4 linked regions of the Macaca fascicularis genome follow. The protein of the gene in region 4 interacts with the protein of the main gene of each other region in a pairwise test. Links are inferred from orthologs where the notes say so. Each region holds a gene or a part of one and is shown on either strand. Other genes may lie near its edges.

Region 1 (4,469 bases), on a different chromosome or scaffold from region 4:
AGACTGCACTAGCAGAAAAGGAAATCTGTCCATGTCAGGCCTAAACTAGGTTAAAGTATCTTTAAGGTCTAAGGAGGGTTGTGGTTGGGAAAATCCCAAGGAAGAATCAGTGGAACTGTGGAAAGCAAGAGGTTACAACAATTGCATGGGAAGATTTAGGAGTTTTTAGCTTATCAGGGTCATAGATAAATGTTTAGGGCACTGGGCCATTTCTCCTCACCTTTAATACACAGAAAATATTACACCTGCCTTTGGACAGCAGCAGTTAACTCATAGGGAACCGGAACAGTGGCTATTTTTTCCTCTCCCCATCAGCAACTGTTGGAGGAAAAAGCACAAGTTAGAATCTAGGTAAATCTGGGTAAACTTTTACGTAAAGTCTGAGGAAAATAAATTCCCACAATGCCAAACTACTATGGTAATGAATGGTTAGCAAGTTCTCAGACCCAAGATAACAAGACACCCCTCTTCTTCAGAACCTTGTGTGGGTAATGACTATGGGCTCAATGTCTCAGGAAGGTATCTCTCAAAAGGTAATAAATAAAGCCCAACATAGAAGTGGATTTTGTATATACGTTCTAACCAAATGCTTTCACAAATGCCACTTTTAAGATAAAAACATTTTATACTGGGGGCAAAAGCACTCATATTTGTTTTAGTTCGTAATTTCCCAGTCTTCAGTCATCCAAGTACCACTTTCAGAATTATCTTCATCCATCTGTACTATTTACCTAATATTGGTCTTTGAATTGACTTACTTTTCTTGTCCTTTATTTTTTAGTAATAATATCTGTGAAATCAGTTTTGAGATATTAAGTTTTTCTCCTAATTTAAATTAAAAGAACTTGTTTCATTCAAATATGTATGTGTGTGAAAATTTTGGGAGAACTTTAATATTCATTTGCTTATCAAATTATCTTGCATATGTGACAGTACCAATATGGTACATATTATTTTATTACAATTGCTAGCTGAGATCTGTGGGAATGGGAAAGGGTGGTAGTTAATTTGGACAGAAAGCTATACTACTTGTGATACACAGGGAGGGTGGGGGATAGATTGGGTGATAAAGAGGATGGAATTTCTGTCATTTTGCCTATGCCCTCTACCTCACTAGCAGTGTGTGACATTCCTATTATGGGTGCTTACACTGCACAGTATGTATAAGACCTCAGACTTCACAACAGATTTTACCCACATCTAGGACAGGGCCCCCAGTACATGCTCAAATGTGTCAATTCCAACACTCGTATAGTGCCACATAGTTCACAGTTGGGTAGGTAGAACTGCCAATTTACAGATGAGGAAACTGAGGCTTACTTTCTCAATGTCACACTGCTAGTATATAGCAGAACTGGTACTTCAGTCTAAGTTTCTAGTATCTACACACTACTATGCTTCATCAGTCTACCAAAACCAACAAGAGATAAGAAACCAGGGATATAGAAACTCCTATTTACTTGCTGCCTGGGTTCTAATCCTGGCTCCACCATGTAGCAGACATGTAAATTTGGGCAAGCTTTGCCTTTCTACATCTATACATTATGGCTACTAACAGTATCTATCTCATAGGCTTATTTTAAAGATGACAATAGTATCTATCTCATAGGATCATGTAAAGCGCCTGAAACACTGCCTTGTAACATACTAAAAGCACTATATTAAATATTTGCTATATTATTTATTGATTACTCTCCATGGACCACGCACTTTATACACATTACCTCATTTAAGCCTTCCAAAAACCTGTGAAGTAGGTATTATTAGTTCCATTTTACCTTTGAGGAAATTCAAGCCCAGAAAGCTTAAGGAATTTTTTTAATCCCTAAACTAGTACGTGACAAAGTAGGGATTTAAACTCAGACCCAACTCTAACAACTCTGTGAGACACTCAAGGAAGGTCACAGGCACCCCTGTGATACCTGGGCCTCTTTCATAGACCAACATAAGATATACTTCGATTTTAACCAGTTGCACGCACACACACACAAAAAGGCACTAAACAGATGTGATGGTTTTCAACATAGGAAATACCCGAATGTCCCATTACTTTAGGATACGGTCACAGGTGTCAGAATCAAATACTGAAGGAAACTTAATATGCCAGAAATTGTAGGTACCGTTTAAGGCACTGCCTGATTCCTTCCGATCTTAGCATGTAAGCAAATATCAATAACATGAAAAGTGATTCAGAGTTTGAAAAGTGGCTGTTCCCCTGACTGAAGTTCCCAACATCTCCAGTCTGGTGGCTGACATTTTTGCTCTGGGCTAGGCTTTGCCTTGGCTGAATAGACCCAGGAGGGACTGGTTCTCAAGGTAGCCCCCTGCCCCAGGTGGATGACCCAGGAAACTAAGCAGCAGGAGAAAAATTATCTTAAGCTGTCTTCACTGGCAGAGAGATTCAGGACAGCTGGGGCTTGTCCTTTTCTTTCGGAAGCCTCCTCCACTTGTTGAGCCAATTGCTCAGGTCTCCCTTCTGCCACATCGTTCCCAAAGTGACTCTTGAGGCAGGGTCTCAAGAGGTTTCCGTGAGCCAACACGGGCAAATATCTGGGTTCAGTGCTCACTCCATCCCCGCAAGACGTAAAGTAAGACACTGGTTCAAGTCCCATTCTGCCTAACAGAAATAGGAAATACCACCTCAAGCTCCCGCGGGCCACCTACACAGGTAGATCACCGTGTTTCTGACAACTGGGCGCCAGGGAATCCCTACCAACCTACTGACAGCCAAGTGCGACTGTCCCTCCCCTTTAGACACTCCTTCCCTGGCTGCCCAATACCCCAGGCGGCTCAGACGAGGCGCAACGGCCGCCCGCGTGGCCCCAGAGAAACCTCAAGTCGAAGGGGACGGGGTCCCTACTTGCCCGTCCCTCCAGAGCTCCGCGACCCCGGCTCCCACCCCAAAGGCACGGACTTGGCTCCTGCCCGTCGGGTAGGTCTTCAGTCCCGAGGGCGAAGACCGAGGCTGTCGCGGGAGGCAGGGAGAGGGAGGGGAGAGGCCGGCAGGGGTTCGAACGACCCCTAAGAAGGGAAGAAGAGGACTGGGAGGGGCCGGGTAGTACCTGTCGAGACGGGACCCGCCGCTCCGAGTGACGCACCCCGCAGTGCATTGTGGGGCCTGGGAGGGGCCTTTCGGCGGGGCTGCGCCGCGTCCAACGTGGCTCGCGCCCGCGGAATCAAACCACGCCCCCGTTCCCTCGGCTCGCCCAGGCCAATCGGATTCTGCAGGAAGGACACAACAACCCGCCCGATCCCAGGACCCGCCTTAGTCCCACCGGCTCCAGGAGAGATTGGCAGCGTCTCTCGCACCTGCGCCAGAAAAGTACAGTCCTCTGATGACAGAACTACGTTGACTTTAGAAATAGGGCCAATCCCCTCCGCTCGCCGCCCTGTATCTGCAGGCATTTTGTCTTTCACACGCGGCCCCTACAGCAGACACTTATAAAGGGGACAGGGAGAAAAGCCCCCTGTGGGTGAGCAAGGAGAGGACCTGGCCCCGTCTATACCCACACACAAGAAGGAAACAAACTATGGCAGAGAAGTGCCAGATGCCGACCCCTTGACCCCTTCCAGCTTTCGCATCGTTCATGCGTTATTAAACAGGCATTTACTGGCTGTTTACCATGTGCCAAGCACCGTGTTAAACGCGGGGTTACAGGAGTGGACATAACACTTGATGGAATTTAAGACGTAATTGGAGCAAAAGATATGAAAGCATAAATAGTTACAGAATTATAAATTGTGATCAGTACTGGGAGGGAAAATTAGTGGGTGCAATGATGAATTAATTTTGGACTGTCAGGAAAGAGACTTCTGAATAAGTGCCTTTTAAGCTGCAGGCATATTAAAGAACCTTAGAGAATGTTCCCCGTCAAGGAACTATTATGTGTGAGGTTGTTGGGGCATGAAAGAACTTCGTGTGCTCTAGGAAGTAAAAGGAAGTCAGTGTGGATGGAGTGTAGGGAGCAAGGAGAAACTTCCAAAATACAGCCTGAAATCTGTAATGTGGCCAATAAGAGCCAGCATGGTCTGGCCCTTGTCTCATCTCAGCCCAAGGTCAATGGGCAACTAATAAAGACTATTAAGTAGGATCCTATTTGCATATTTAAGAATCACTCAGGCTGTTTGTGGAGAATAGTTCGGAAGAGGGCAAGAAAGGCTGCTGGAAGGCCATTTGGAGGCAGTTGCATCAGGCAAAGCCAGAAATGATGGCTTGAACTAGTATAATGGGAGTTAGAGACAGAAAGAGGTAGATAATTTCAAGATATGTATAAATTAGAGATGGTATCCAAGGGACTTAATAACAGATTGGTTTGCCGGGAAGGGTCAAGAAAGAGGAATATTAAGGATGACTCCTTAAGTAACTAGATGGATTAAGAAGCCATTTACTGATTCACAGAACACAGGAGGAGGAGCAAATGGCTTGGAATATGTTAAATTTGAAATGTCTATAAATAGAGATGTCAAGT
Region 2 (4,622 bases), on a different chromosome or scaffold from region 4:
ATATTGTGATTTATAAAATATATATATATATATTTGGTTTTAATCCCCATTTCCTGACATATCCTTGGAATCCCTGCAGTGATGTGTCTTGTGTATGCTAGTAAGATGCCTGGTAGCTTAGCCCCCACATAGATTCAAGATGGAGGCTGGTCACAGAAAAACCTAGGTATGATTATAAGACTGTGACTTTTCAGCCCCACCCCCTAGCTTCCTGGGAGGGGAGGAGGGCTCCAGGTTGAACTGATTTCCAATGGCCAATGATGTAATCAATCATGCCTACTAATGAAGACTCCATAGAACCCAAAAAGGACAGGGTTCAGAGAGCTTCCCGAAAGCTGAACAAGTAGAGGGTTCCTGGACGGTGGCACACCTGGAGAGGGCACAGAAGCTCTGTACCCCTTGCCCTATGCACCTCTTCCATCTGGCTGTTGATCTCTATCCTTTATAATAAACCAGTAAACAAAGTGTTTCTCTGAATTCTGTGAGCCACTCTAGCAAATAAATGGAACACAAGGAAGGGATTGTGGGAACTATGATTTATAGCCAGTCAGTTGGAAGCACAGGTAAAACAACCTGGAACTTGTGACTGGCACCTGAAGGGGGGAATCTTGTAGGCTTAAGCCCTCAACCTGCCCGATCTGATGCTATCTCTAGGTATACAGTATCAGAATTGAATGAGAGAACACCCAGCTGGAGAACCTGCTGCAGAACTGCCTGCTTGCTTGTGAGGAGAAGTCTTTTTGGGGTCACAGGAGTATTCTGTGTTGAGAGAGAATAGGAGAAACTCAATTTTTCTTCTATCAAAACAACTGGATTAAACAAAACTAGTTTTCTTTGCTACAGAATGACTCACATCCTGTTATATGCTAATATGCATTGTGACTTTCCAGGAAAATGCTTGTGTATGCAACATATTAAAAATTTTTTTTGAGAAAAAGTTGTTCTATGCAAATAATGAATTTTCAGTATTTTTGACTAGATGGTAGATGAATACTCAGCAATTCAGGATAGCTCAGAAATAATGTTATACTGTGTGCTAGGCACTGTGCTCAGTGATATGCATGCATTTTCTTTTACTCTTTATGACCCTTCTTTGAAGTAGGCACCAAGAAACTAGGAGAAAACTAAAGTTTAGTAACGATAACGTTAGTCACTACACTCATTGAAACAGCAGAGATACAGGCCTAAATTAATCAATGGCTGTGCATTATCAGTTTTAACTGTTTTTTTCAATTAGTTGCTCATCAGGTTTACAGAATTCTGTTCTAGAAAGACCCACTTCCTGGTAACAACCCAATAGTCCTGTTTCCTTCTCCACAAGAAGAAACACAGCCCTTTAAATTAGGTATAGTTAGATATCAGTTTGTTGGTTAATGATATACACTTAAAAAAGAATAATCCCAGAATCATGTTTCACGAACCAAATAAAAGTAATATTTTAAGTCAGCTGCTTGTCAAAACAAACGGACACAAACACTTTTCTTTGGTAAGAAATGCTTCCAAATCAGAAATTATTCACTTGTAACAAAAACCAAACTCTTGCTGCCTAACAGCTCTTGAGTTCTTGGTTCCACAATATTTCTGTCACATACATCTGGCCCTTTTATTCCTCATACTTTGATTTCAGAATACTTAATTCTTGCAGAAATGTAACAGAATGCATGGAAAAACAGATGACAAGGCAAATTACTGAAGAACTTGTGCTTTTAACTATATCTGTATTTAGATTTTAACCCCTGCAAAGAGGCTCCCTCAACATCTCAAAGCAAACAACAGGCTGACTTATATAATGCCTTTATGAGACATAGGGTAAAACTACAATCTTAAGGAGGAGCAAACCCCATATTCAGGTCTCTTAATCCCAGGAAACCATGTGCAACAAATAGAAAGCCCATCAGCAAAGCAGTAGGCAGATTAATTAGCTACGTTGATGAACTTTGACGTTATTTGCAACTGGTGATTATTAGTAACTGATGACATGTGTATCAAACAACTAGTAGAAATGAATCATGCTCAGAAAGTAGACAAGGATATCGTCCGCCTAAGATTCTCCTACAAAAAAGACATGTGAATTCAGGTGTTTGTGACTAGGTATACATGTAAATAAGAGAGCTATCATGTACTTCCACATTGAGGATAGACCACCACTATAAAATTCACTTAAAAAAGTCACATCACCGTATGCTTCTTATACATCGGCATATACTTAAATGTCTATGTATGCATTTTTGTAAGTAGTACGTTATCTAGTCAACAGCTTTGAATCTGGGCAGAGGCTCTCCTTTTCCCAGCCTCCATTCCCTTTCTGACTCGTCTTCCTTGTCTGTCATCAGCCGTCTTGCTTGATGCAGTTTCACAGAAATAAAGTGACTTGGATGGACACAAACCGGAGATGTCATTTGCAAAACCTGTCAAGTGTAACGATTCACCCCCACCTTCCGGTCATTATAAACACAGCAGGGTTGGCGCTCTTTCTCCTGAGCCCTTTAAATACACAATTCCAGGCAGCTCCGTTCACCCCCCACACCCAATCTGTCGCACCAGGCCACGTCCCTGGATATATCTGCTCCTAACACTGGCCCTTCCTGCCCCACGGTACCCCCTGGCATTCCTGACTGCATCCCACTCTTAACAAACCTTCCCCATCCATGGCACTGTTTTCTTCCCATCACCCAGAGTTCCCTTCCATTCCAAGTCTTCTCTTCCTCAACTGCTCCCCGTCCGCACACCCCTGTCCTCGTCTTCCTTCCTCACGACACCCCGGGCCCCAGCCTTTTCCCACTCCGGGGTCCCTTCCTAGATGCCGGAGGCCGGCCGACCAGCCCGACTAGGACGTCGGGGGGCGGCGAGGCAGGGCGTCTTCTTCGTTTCCTTCCTCCTCACACCAGCCCCTCCCGCTGGGAACAGGCCAGCGCCAGTACCTGAGGCTCCCGGGGAACTCCCGGCAGCTCTCCCGGGCTGGCGGTGCTGGGCGGGCGGTGCTGGGCGGGCGGGGGAAGGAGTGGGAAGCCGAGGTAAAAAGCTGGGAGGGGGAGACAGTGGATGCAGACCCGGCGTCGGCCGCAGCGCCGCAGAAGCGCCTCCGCTCATCGAGCCGATCGGCGCTCGGCGGCCTGGCGCCAGGCGGAGAGGGCGGGTCCAGGGCACGGAGATAGTCGAGGAAGTCGATTCCGCCGAACGCGCTTCGCCTAAAAGAGCCCGGACCCACACGCAGTTTAGGTGCAGCTTTCCAAGGTTATGCTGTGCTTTAGGGGAGGAACGACCACCGGTTCTCCAGGTTCCGGTCGCGATCCGGTGGACCTGCTTCGGGTTCGTCTGGGGCCTTTTCTGAAGAAAGGAGATCTGTTCGATCCCTTGTTTACAGAATTAGCTACACTTGGAAAGAGATGTTAGGGGTTCCTAGGCCAGGCTCCTCCCTTTAGATAGGTGGAATATCTGGTTCAGAGAGGAGACTGACTTAAAGTTACACAGCTAGTTTAGATAGATACGGAACGAGGGCTCGGTGTTCTTTTCCTGGTATCCCTTAGTTGTAACCTGAAAGCCTTCAGGTTTCAGGGAAATCGCCCTTGCCAGGCCATTCCGCCACTCTGCCCATTCCTCCCTCACTCCCTCCCCCTCCGCCCAATTTGGTATCATGTTTAGATCTCGAAGCCCGCTGTAGCTGGCTACCAAAAACAAGTCCTAATTTTGTTTTTCCGTTCTCTTATTTGTTTTATTATCCATTCCTCCCACGCCCCAGCTGGATTATTTTACTCATTGAATCATATTCACTACACATCTTTTAAAATGAATACAGTGTCTATGGGTCCTTTGTTGATAGAGTATTTTAACTGTCTGAAATGCTTTGCCAGGCACTTTCTAAAGATATAAAAATAAGAGGGGGTGTTCAAGAACAAGAGTAGACAAAACAGCAGGAGGAAAGATCTGAGGACACTAAAGGAAAGGAAAGAATAGACACCCTCTTACCAAAAAGTTGCTCTTCTTTTGATTTTTTTTTTAATGTAAAACTGTACTAACGAATTTGAAAAATGCCATGACTAAGGCAATGATGCTCAACTCTGATTCACTTGGAGTTGAATCACTTGGAAAGCTTTTAAAACTGCGTAGGTGCCCACGTGTTACCTAGATTCTGATTTAAATGGTCTGAGATTTAGAAACAGCCGTTGGGTTGTCAGTTGAAGGTTCTGAAAGCTTGATGCTAAACTCAGTTGCCTATGTTTATGCCAAGTTGCTGACTTGGACTGAAACGGCCCACTTAGAAACCTCTCATGGTTTATATCTCTGTCTAGGCGTGATAGTGGGACTACCCCCAGACTCCACAGGTAACCCAGACATCATTTTTCCTTTTACAGCTGATTTTTTCTTTTGAGACGAGTTATCACTTCTTCTCCCAGGCTGGAGTGCGGTGACACAATTATATCTCACAGCAGCTGTGAACTCCTGGTCTAAAGTGATCTTCCTGCCTCTGCCTCCCAAGTAGTTGGAATTACAGGCACAAGCAGCTGTGCCCAGCACTTACAGTTGATTTTATGTCTATATATTTGCATGTTATAGGATATTTTCTGGCTTTGGTGCCTTAGCCAGTTGGAGCTTTAGCTAGTTATAGCCTCGTCTTTTGTGCA
Region 3 (4,803 bases), on a different chromosome or scaffold from region 4:
CGCGGTGGCTCACGCCTGTAATCCCAGCACTTTGGGAGGCCAAGGCAGGCGGATCGAAGGTCAGGAGATTGAGACCATCCTGGCTAACATGGTGAAACCCCATCTCTACTAAAAAATACAAAAAATTAGCCAGGCATGGTGGCGGCCACCTGTAGTCCTAAAAAAAAAAAAAAAAAAAAAAAATTACCCAGGAAATACAAAAATTAGCAGGGAAATACAAAAATTAGCCAGGTGAGGTGGCACCCACCTGTAGTCCCAGCTACTCAGGAGGCTGAGGCGCAAGAATCGCTTGAACCTGGGAGGCAGAGGTTGCAGTGAGCCGAGATTGCACCACTGCACTCCAGTCTGAGCAACAGAACGAGACTCTTGTCTCAAAAAAAAAAAAAAAAAAAGAAAAAAAAGAGTATTTAATGAATTTTAAATACAGATAAATTATTTCTGATGAAAATTTAATGTCCAAATTTAAATGTGCAGTAAGTGTAAAATATGTATTAGATTTAGAAGACTTAGTGCAAAAGTAAAATATCTCATCAATCTTTGTATTAATCACACGTCGAATATTTTGAATGTACTAGAGATTACATTAGAATTAATTTCACCTGTTCCTTTTTATTTTACTGTGGCTACTAGAAAATGTAAAATGACGTACGTGGCTGGCATTATACTTCTATTGGACAGCACTGATCCAATAGATCCCAGGACAGCTGAAAGAGGAAATGAGACCAGAAGCAGGAAGAACAATTAAAAGATTCTTTGATAAGCATCCAGATAAAAGAGACAGGCTTGATTATCTAAATTCTGCCCATCTTCAAAACGTAATTCAAGATATACTTATTGCCTCCAAAAGCTTTCCTAATCCTAACAATTCCCAAGGAGATGCCTTTCTCTGAACTCCTGGGGCACTCATCATCTGCAGCATTCACTTCAACACTCATTCATTTGCCACCTGTCATTTCTACTTAATTTTGGGGTAATTTGTTTCTCAGATTAGACTAGAAGCTCCTAGGCCATAATTTAGGCATCTTTAATTTTTCCATGCTGTGTAATGCATTCTTGATACTTTTAATAAACACAGGTGCATGACTCCCAAAAAATCTGGATACACCTTCATGGGTGACTTTACCTTTCCACAGTAGAAGGTACTGAGAATCTCTTTTCCTTCAAGAACCTTAAAGACAGGAGCTAAAATGATGTAAAAGTCAATCAAAACTCCGAACCAATGTTCCAATAAAGTAGTGATATTTAATCAGTGAACAAGCATTAGACGACTGTATTGGATACCGTCAAGAAAAAAAAAATGCCACGACGGCAGAAGAATTTAGGCTTTTGACAAATTCCATAAAAAGTCAAACAAAAAATTTCTGATCATCTCTGATCTCCACTGCCAGAGATAACCTTTGCCAACCTAAGCATTAAGAACTTTCAATCAAGGAAAAAACACATTTTTAAAATTAACCCCTAATCAATTCTTCTAATAAATATCACATTTTCCAGGTAGGAAGTCACATATTACCAGTAAATCTACAACTCAGCATTTTCCCATCTAAATTAGAGTAAGGTGAAGAAAAAGACCTTTCCAGGGAAATGTTAAGAAATATTATAAGTGTATTTTACTGCATCATCGATAAAATCTTTCACCTAAAATGCCATTTAAATTTTCTACAATACTTGAGTATACAACAGCCAGCTTGTACCACTACAAAAATAGGAAGCTAGCAGCAACTCGTTAAAAGCAAGGGACATTCTGTGATCAGTACTGATTTGGGAACTTTGCAGTTTTCAGATTTTTCATGTTTGACATTTAAAACAGAAAACTGACACGTTTCTAATAAGAAACTAAAAGTTACATCAGAATTAATCTTCTTGCATTTGTTTAATGGCTACAAAGTGGATATTACAAAGTGCAGTTGAAGTTTCTATCTCCAAAGAAACAATCGAGCAAGATGGAGTTAGGACAGCTTACAAGGGAACAGAAGGCAGTTCTATTCTGAAAGGCAGAAGAAATAGGAGAAACCTGTCAAACAGCCTGGATGATATCAAGGAGTTAACAAGCAACACTCATTTCCTTTAGCACTGTGAGAAAATTCCGGTTGCTAATAGAAAGCTGAGGAAAGTTTGGTTTGGCTTGTTTCATTTTGTTTTCCTTCCAAATCATCACTGAGTATGAACGACTGCTTTCCTCTCCTCACATTACTCAGTAAAAACTCCCCCCATTGAATTGTCTTCCTGTGCCCTGCTCCCCAGCCTCCCAGATCAGCCCCCGCCCCCGCCTCCCTCCCAGCAAACGTGCTCAGACGCCTCTGGGCTTGTTGTGGTCTCGCCAGTCCTGCGGACGAGCGCTCCAAACTCAATGGACAATGGAGTTCACCCCCGTCAACACGAACTACAAAGCTCAGGAGGGCCATTTCCCTTTTCCTGCCCAGATGCTGTTTTCGCTCCTTCGAAGCAAGGTCCCATGCTCGAATAGACGGCCAGTGTGAGCTAGGACCTGCGTGTCTCCTTCTCACCTGCAGAGCTGCTGAGCCCCTCGACCCCCAAATAAGTTGTACCGCAGCGCACAGGCCAAAAAGGCCCCACCACCACCAGGGGCTTGGCTGGGGACAGTGGCTTCACCGTCCAGGTAGGGATGCAGGAGACGTCTCTGGACGCTTGGTCATGGCCCTCAAGACTAAGCCGTCTCCACTGTGACCCCTCCCCAGCTCCAACTTGCCTCCCCTCCCCCTACTGCGAGAAGACCGAGGAGGTGCGGGCAGGCAGCACCGCCACCTCTTCCTCCAGTGGAGCCCTCGGCCGACACTCACCCTTTCACCACAAAGAAGGGGTCCTCCATGGACATGGCGTCCCGGCCCCGGCCGCCTCCACCTCCACCGCGCACAGAGCGCCCGTGCCTCCCGGCCTCCTTCCGCCCACCCGGCCTGTTCCCGCAGCCGCCCGCGCCTTAGACTGGGGGACGCCAAGCAGCGGGCACGCGCGCAGGCCAGGTGCACGGGACCACCGCTGGTCCAGCACTCGCTCAGCACCACTGGCCGAATCCCGGACTCCAGAGCCGGCCCCCTCTGCAGCCTCCAGTCCCGGCTCCTCCCGGCGAGTCGGAGAGCCTGACCCCACCCCCAGGACCCTCGGCTGCGGCCAATCACGAAAGCCGCCTGAAGCACGACTTCCGTACCCCACTCACGTGATCAGGGCCTGCCCCTCCCCCAGTGGGCGGGGCCTGGGCCTGCGTCCCTCCGCCCTGGAGGCGGAGCCCTCGGGGCGGAGGAGGTGGGCGGCTTTCTACCGCCCTCTCCTCAGGCTTGAAGGTGAAGAGCGGCTTGTTCCCTCAGAGGTAGGCAGTCGGCTTTTCAGGATAAACTGTAGTTGTACCTGTTTTGCAAAATCCTCTTACCTTTCCTCTACTTTTAATACTTGATTTTGACAGTATGTAATTTATAAATCTATCTGGTCCTCGACTTAAAATGAAGCATAGTATCTGATTATGATGCTACACAGCTCCTTCAAGTAGGGTCTTACTTTGTGTTGGAGAGTGTGCTAAAAAGTTGTGTATGCATCATCTCAGTATTCTTTGGGGGAAGGTATTATTCCCCTCCTTCCCCTTTTTGGGGGGCAGGGACTCTCTCTGTCACCCAGGCTGGAGTGCAGTGGCACAATCACAGCTCACTGCACCCTCGACCTCCTGGGCTCAAGCGGTCCTCTCGCCTCAGCCTCCCGAGTAGCTGGGACTACAGGTGAGAGCCACCACGCCCAGCTGATTTTTAAATTTTTTGTAGAGATAGAGCTCTCAGTATATTGCCTAGGCTGGCCTCGAACACCTGAGCTCACAAGACCCTCCTGCCTCTGCCTCCCAAAGTGGTGGGATTACGGACGTGAGCCCCTACGCCATCCATTTCTCCCATTTTGTAGATGAGAAAATAAGTTCAGAGAGGCTTCACGACTTCCTGTAGTCACACAGCCTGGACAGAGCAGAACTGCAGATTCTGTGCACTTTCCACCAGATGGGGTGTACTTTATGTTGCTGTACATTCTGCAAATAACCATGTAAAGTAATTTTTCATACAGCATATGGTGCCTCCCAGGAGAGCGCACCTACAAGGAATAAAGAAGGGGCCAGGTATGACAACTTCCTCTCACTGTGGTTCAAGGACTATTCTAGAAAACATTTTGCCCAGAACCTTAGCCAACTCATATGCTAGATATGCTGTGGAGTTTGTGGATGAGGATTGTGGACTTTGATTGCTGAAAATCATTGAGCACTTAGTGTGTGTGTGTCAGGCAGGGTGTTAAGTGTTATCTCGGTTGCTCTTACAGTGCGATAATTACTGCCATCATGCCCATTTTATAAATGAGAAATCTGAGACTCTGGGAGGGTAAGTGACTTGCCCAAGGTCACCAGTCTGGAGATGGCACAGTCCTTGGAGCAACACAAACCCCGTTTAAACCTTGGCTCTATCGTTCAGCTCCTCATCTATAAAACATAAATAATAATAGCTAGTTCATGGGTTGTTGTGATAGTTAAATAAAAATGCGTGTAAACCTCAAGATCCCAAAGGATTAAGTTACTGAAGTCAGGAAAACCAGTAAGGACGCTGCTAAGGTCATGTGGCGTGAAGGGATGAGGGCCAGACCAGGATGACAGCGATTGAGAACAGAGAGGAAGGAGTGAATCTGACAGATGTTTCAAAAGGAAAACAAGACTGAACACCTAGACATGATGAGGGGCTGAATGGGTTTTGAGAGGGGAGAGAAGAGAGGTGAAAGCCAAAATCCCTGGAGGAGCGAACAATGGAAGACAGATGCAGGGAAAGG
Region 4 (4,017 bases):
CGTCCAGGAGGTAGGGAGGTTGGATGCCCGGAAGCCTTGGGCCAGCCCTTCCAGGAACACACGTGCACAGGGCTTTCTATGCTCTTTTTTGTTTTTTAATTTTTTACAAAACTGTGTGTCCCGACCAATCAGGACAGTGCAGGCCTCCCCCAGGCACTGAGGCCTGAAGGAGGAGGCCACCATGAATGAGCAGCTGCCAACCCCAGAAGAACTGTCTGCCCTTCTGCATAGGGGCCAGTGTGAGGAAGGGGTCCAGCTGGAGGCTCTGCCCTGTCCCCCAGGCTGCTGGGAGAGAAGGCCAGGCCCTGGGTCCCTGGTGCTCCTAGTGCCTGTAAGGAAAGGAGGGAGAACAGGGTCTGAGGGAGAAGGGAGGGCTGGGGCCAGGGCTGGGGCAGGCCAGAGGGCAGCCCACAACATCTCACCAACAATGTGTGACATTATCCAACCACTGTGACGCCAATGATGACTGCTAGGAGGACGACGGTGATGGACACACAGATGGCAATCAAGACTTTCTTCTGTGGGAGAGGAGGGGGTCAGGGAAGTCACAGAGGGTGCCTGGGGCAGAGGCTGGGCCTGGGAGGCTCACCTTCCTCGCCTTCTTCTGGTTCTCCAGGGCTGTCTTGACGTGCTCCTGCCCGCGTTCCACGTAGTCCGCTGAGCTCAGGATGTTCTTCTCAATCCGATTGATCATCTCCCCCTGCTCAGAGGATGGGGTGATTCAGGGAGGTAAGGATGCCTTTGCCCACCCCACCCCAGATGACTGAAGAGCATTCCTGGCAGGAAAAAAAAGATTGCACTAACAAAGACAAGGGCAAGACTCGATCTGACAAAAGTTCAGGCTCCTTGGAGATGGCTTCCAGGTCCCTTCTATCATGTAGTCCCTTGTCCCCTGCTCGCTTATCCCATATGACCTCTATCTGCAGTGGTAGCTTGGAGCTAAGGACCTCAAATGGCTCATACCTTTCACAGATGGTGAACTGTGCCTTCACAAATCTGTCTGAATTTACCCATTCTTCCAGGCCTATCTACAGCTGCTGCAAAGCCCTCCCTATCCCTGCCTCCTCCTGGCACCACCAGCCTCAGGTCTCAGTGCTCCTACTGAATGAGATCTCTTTCCTGTAAGTCTCAGCTGCAAAAGGGCACTGGTTGTAGCATGACTGAGGCCAGCTCCTCCAGGACAGGGCTGGAAGCTCAACTCAACTCACGCAACCAGGGCCAGGGGGACACCGCCCCCACCCCAGCCTTGTACAGATGTTAGGAGGCAGCCCCTCTAAGGCAACTCTGACTGAACCTCTGAGAGGTATCAGGGTGGATGCTGTTAGTGGAGGGGGAGCCAGGGCTGGGGCCAGACCTGGGCAGGCTCAAGTTTTGGAGACAGGGCAGGGTGCTATGCAGAAGGGAGTGGGTATCTGGGTAGCAGCAGAGGCAGGCGCCATTCTCGGGGTACAGCTAAAGATAAGAATAAGCACCAATTTGGGGGGATGGCCAAACCTGGAAGACACAAAAGCCTCAGGGAGAGAATCTAAGGGTGGCAGGAGGCTGGCAGTTTGGACTGAGCCTGGTATCACGTCTGGGGCTGCGCGGGGCACTCACCTGCATCTCCACTTCAGAAGCCAGAAAAGTGAAGATATCGTGCAGCTCACGAATACTGCGTTCAAGCTGCTGGATCTCACTGTGCCGGGCCGAGATCTCATTTAAGGCCTGTCGAGTCACCTGTGTGTCCTTCAGGATCTAGGGGGTGGACAGGAGTGGGGCAACTGTTCACAGGGAGACCGACAGCAGGTCAGAAGCTCCTGTTGAACTTCTGGGGAGCCCTCAGCCTGGAATCTGATGGGTGACTCCAGGTTAGCTAATTAATTCCCTTAGGGGCCTCAGGGTCCCCTCAATCAGAAAGGGACATAGCAAGCGGAGTCCAGTGGCTCACACCTATAGTCCCAGCTACTCGGGAGGCTGAGACAGGAGGATCACCTGAGCCCAGGAGGTCAAGAACGGGATAGGAATCAGAGGAGATGGGAGGCACAGCAGAGAGGGGCTGGCTGTGGCCACTCACATTGGACACGAACACCTCGCTCTGCCCACTATCCAGCATCTGCTCCAGCTCCTCGTCAGACACCATCCCAGCATTGGCTGTGAAGGAAAAGGCCAGGCTCAGGGCTGGGTTGGGATTACCTGCCCCTGCAGGCCAGGCTGGGCACACACAACTCACTGATCTTCAGCTGCCTCCGGATCCGCTCCACGTTCTTCTCCCGGTATTCGGACTGCATTGAATTGCACTTGTTGATGAGCTCCACGAATTGCTGGGACAGGACCCCATGCTAAAGATGAAGAATATAGGCTGGGTGCCCTGGGAGGATCCTTGCCCGGTCTGGGCCTCGGCAATCCCATAGTAAAGTGAGCAAATAGCATGAGCTCTTACGCGGGGTCTGCCACCTTAACCACTTTGTGATGACCTTGACAGGCTCCCCCATTTCTCTTAGACAAAAAGCCAAAGCCCTTAGCAAGTCTATGTGGCCCTCCATGATCTTTTTTATTTTTATTTATTTATTATTTATTTTTTGAGACAGAGTTTCGTTCTTATTGCCCAGGCTGGAGTGCAGTGGCGCAATCTTGGTTCACCACAACCTTGGCCTCCTGGGTTCAAGCGATTCTCTTGCCTCAGCCTCCCAAGTAGCTGGGACTACAGATGAACATCACCATGCATGGTTAATTTTTGTATTTTTAGTAGAGATGGGGTTTCACCATGTTGGCCAGGATGGTCTCAATCTCTTGACCTCAGGTGATCCACCCACCTCAGCCTCCCAAAGTGCTGGGATTACAAGTGTGAGCCACTGCACCTGGCCTATTTTTATTTTTAATAGAGACAGGGTTGACCCGCACGGTGGCTCATGCTTGTAATCTCAGCACTTTGGGAGGCTGAGGTAGGCAGATCACCTGAGGTCGGAGTTCAAGACCAGCCTGGCCAACATGGTGAAACCCCATCTCTACTAAAAATACAAAAATTAACTGGGTGCAGTGGTGGGTGCCTGTAGTCCCAGCTACTTGGGAGGCTGAAGCAGGAGAATGGCTTGAACTCAGGAGGCGGAGGCTGCAGTGAGCAGAGATGGCACCACTGCACTCCAGCCTGGGTGACAGAGTGAGACCTTGTCTCAAAAAAAAAAACAGAGAGAGATGGGGTCTCGCAATGTTGCCCAGGCTGGTCTCAAACGCCTGGGCTCAACCAATCCTCCCACCTCAGCCTCCAAAGTGCTGGGATCACAGGTGTGAGCCAAGGTGCACGGCCAGCCCTCTCTGATCTTGCTTCCTCTTACTGTTCCCTCCCTCTGCCCATCCACATTGGTCTCCTTACAGCCCTCCCTAGACAAAGCACACTCTCAGCTTAAACCTTTGCATTCACTTCTCATTCTACCTAGAATGCCCATTCCCCGCAAACACCTTTAAGTCTTTTGTTCAGATGTCACCTTCTGAATGAAGCTTCCTCCACTTGCTTTCAACTGCAACGCTACCCTCCTCCAGCATGCTCAGTCCCTCTTCCCCTGCTCTTTTTTCCTTAATGCTTATTATGTTCTAAATAATTCACTTATTTATTACGGTGATTGTCTACACCAGAAGGGAAGTTCCATGAGGATAGGGATCATTGATTCACTGCTGTACCCTAAACAGTTCCAAAAAGGTCTGGCACACAGTAGGCACCCAATATGTAACTGCTGAATGCTTGCTGAATGCCAACCTTGCTGCCTACACCACAGTTCCTATGCCTAGAGATGAACATGCTGCCTGGGCGAAACAGGTGCAACAGGCCCACATGGGCCCTCGACCACTCATGCCAATCACCACCACAGGCTTCCCCAGAAACACTGGCTCTGGGGCATCTGCTCTGCCTTGCCCCTTCTCCTGAGACCTTAAATATGCTCATTCCTTGGAGTTCCTTTTCCAGAGATACATCTGCTCTCCTGGTTCCAGCTGCACCCTTCCAAGATGCCCAAGCTGTTTCATCTTCAATCTGGGGTCCTTGCT

Evidence for each region. The genes of interacting proteins can lie anywhere in the genome.
Region 1: the proteins of STX4 (region 4) and SEC22A interact in binary tests that used the Homo sapiens proteins (3 or more experiments, as listed by UniProt). The two-hybrid records come from large-scale screens. The link is inferred for Macaca fascicularis from reciprocal best matches to the Homo sapiens genes STX4 and SEC22A.
Region 2: the proteins of STX4 (region 4) and VAMP4 interact in binary tests that used the Homo sapiens proteins (3 or more experiments, as listed by UniProt). The two-hybrid records come from large-scale screens. The link is inferred for Macaca fascicularis from reciprocal best matches to the Homo sapiens genes STX4 and VAMP4.
Region 3: the proteins of STX4 (region 4) and STX6 interact in binary tests that used the Homo sapiens proteins (3 or more experiments, as listed by UniProt). The two-hybrid records come from large-scale screens. The link is inferred for Macaca fascicularis from reciprocal best matches to the Homo sapiens genes STX4 and STX6.

Annotation. Positions count from the first base shown.
Region 1 is NC_088376.1:160,045,885-160,050,353, forward strand, and holds the start of SEC22A (vesicle-trafficking protein SEC22a), read right to left. Parts: upstream 3,092-4,469; 5' UTR 3,063-3,091; exon of another isoform or gene 2,900-3,062; intron 319-2,899; 5' UTR 250-318; exon of another isoform or gene 221-249; intron 1-220. UniProt on the Homo sapiens protein: May be involved in vesicle transport between the ER and the Golgi complex.
Region 2 is NC_088375.1:29,354,240-29,358,861, forward strand, and holds the start of VAMP4 (vesicle-associated membrane protein 4), read right to left. Parts: upstream 3,092-4,622; 5' UTR 2,922-3,091; exon of another isoform or gene 2,638-2,921; intron 1-2,637. UniProt on the Homo sapiens protein: Involved in the pathway that functions to remove an inhibitor (probably synaptotagmin-4) of calcium-triggered exocytosis during the maturation of secretory granules.
Region 3 is NC_088375.1:38,509,810-38,514,612, forward strand, and holds the start of STX6 (syntaxin-6), read right to left. Parts: upstream 3,092-4,803; 5' UTR 2,837-3,091; coding exon 2,802-2,836; intron 1-2,801. UniProt on the Homo sapiens protein: SNARE promoting movement of transport vesicles to target membranes. Targets endosomes to the trans-Golgi network, and may therefore function in retrograde trafficking.
Region 4 is NC_088394.1:29,218,248-29,222,264, reverse strand, and holds part of STX4 (syntaxin-4), read right to left. Parts: intron 2,319-4,017; coding exon 2,210-2,318; intron 2,131-2,209; coding exon 2,054-2,130; intron 1,735-2,053; coding exon 1,597-1,734; intron 701-1,596; coding exon 590-700; intron 519-589; coding exon 438-518; 3' UTR 423-437; intron 330-422; exon of another isoform or gene 74-329; intron 1-73. UniProt on the Homo sapiens protein: Plasma membrane t-SNARE that mediates docking of transport vesicles. Necessary for the translocation of SLC2A4 from intracellular vesicles to the plasma membrane.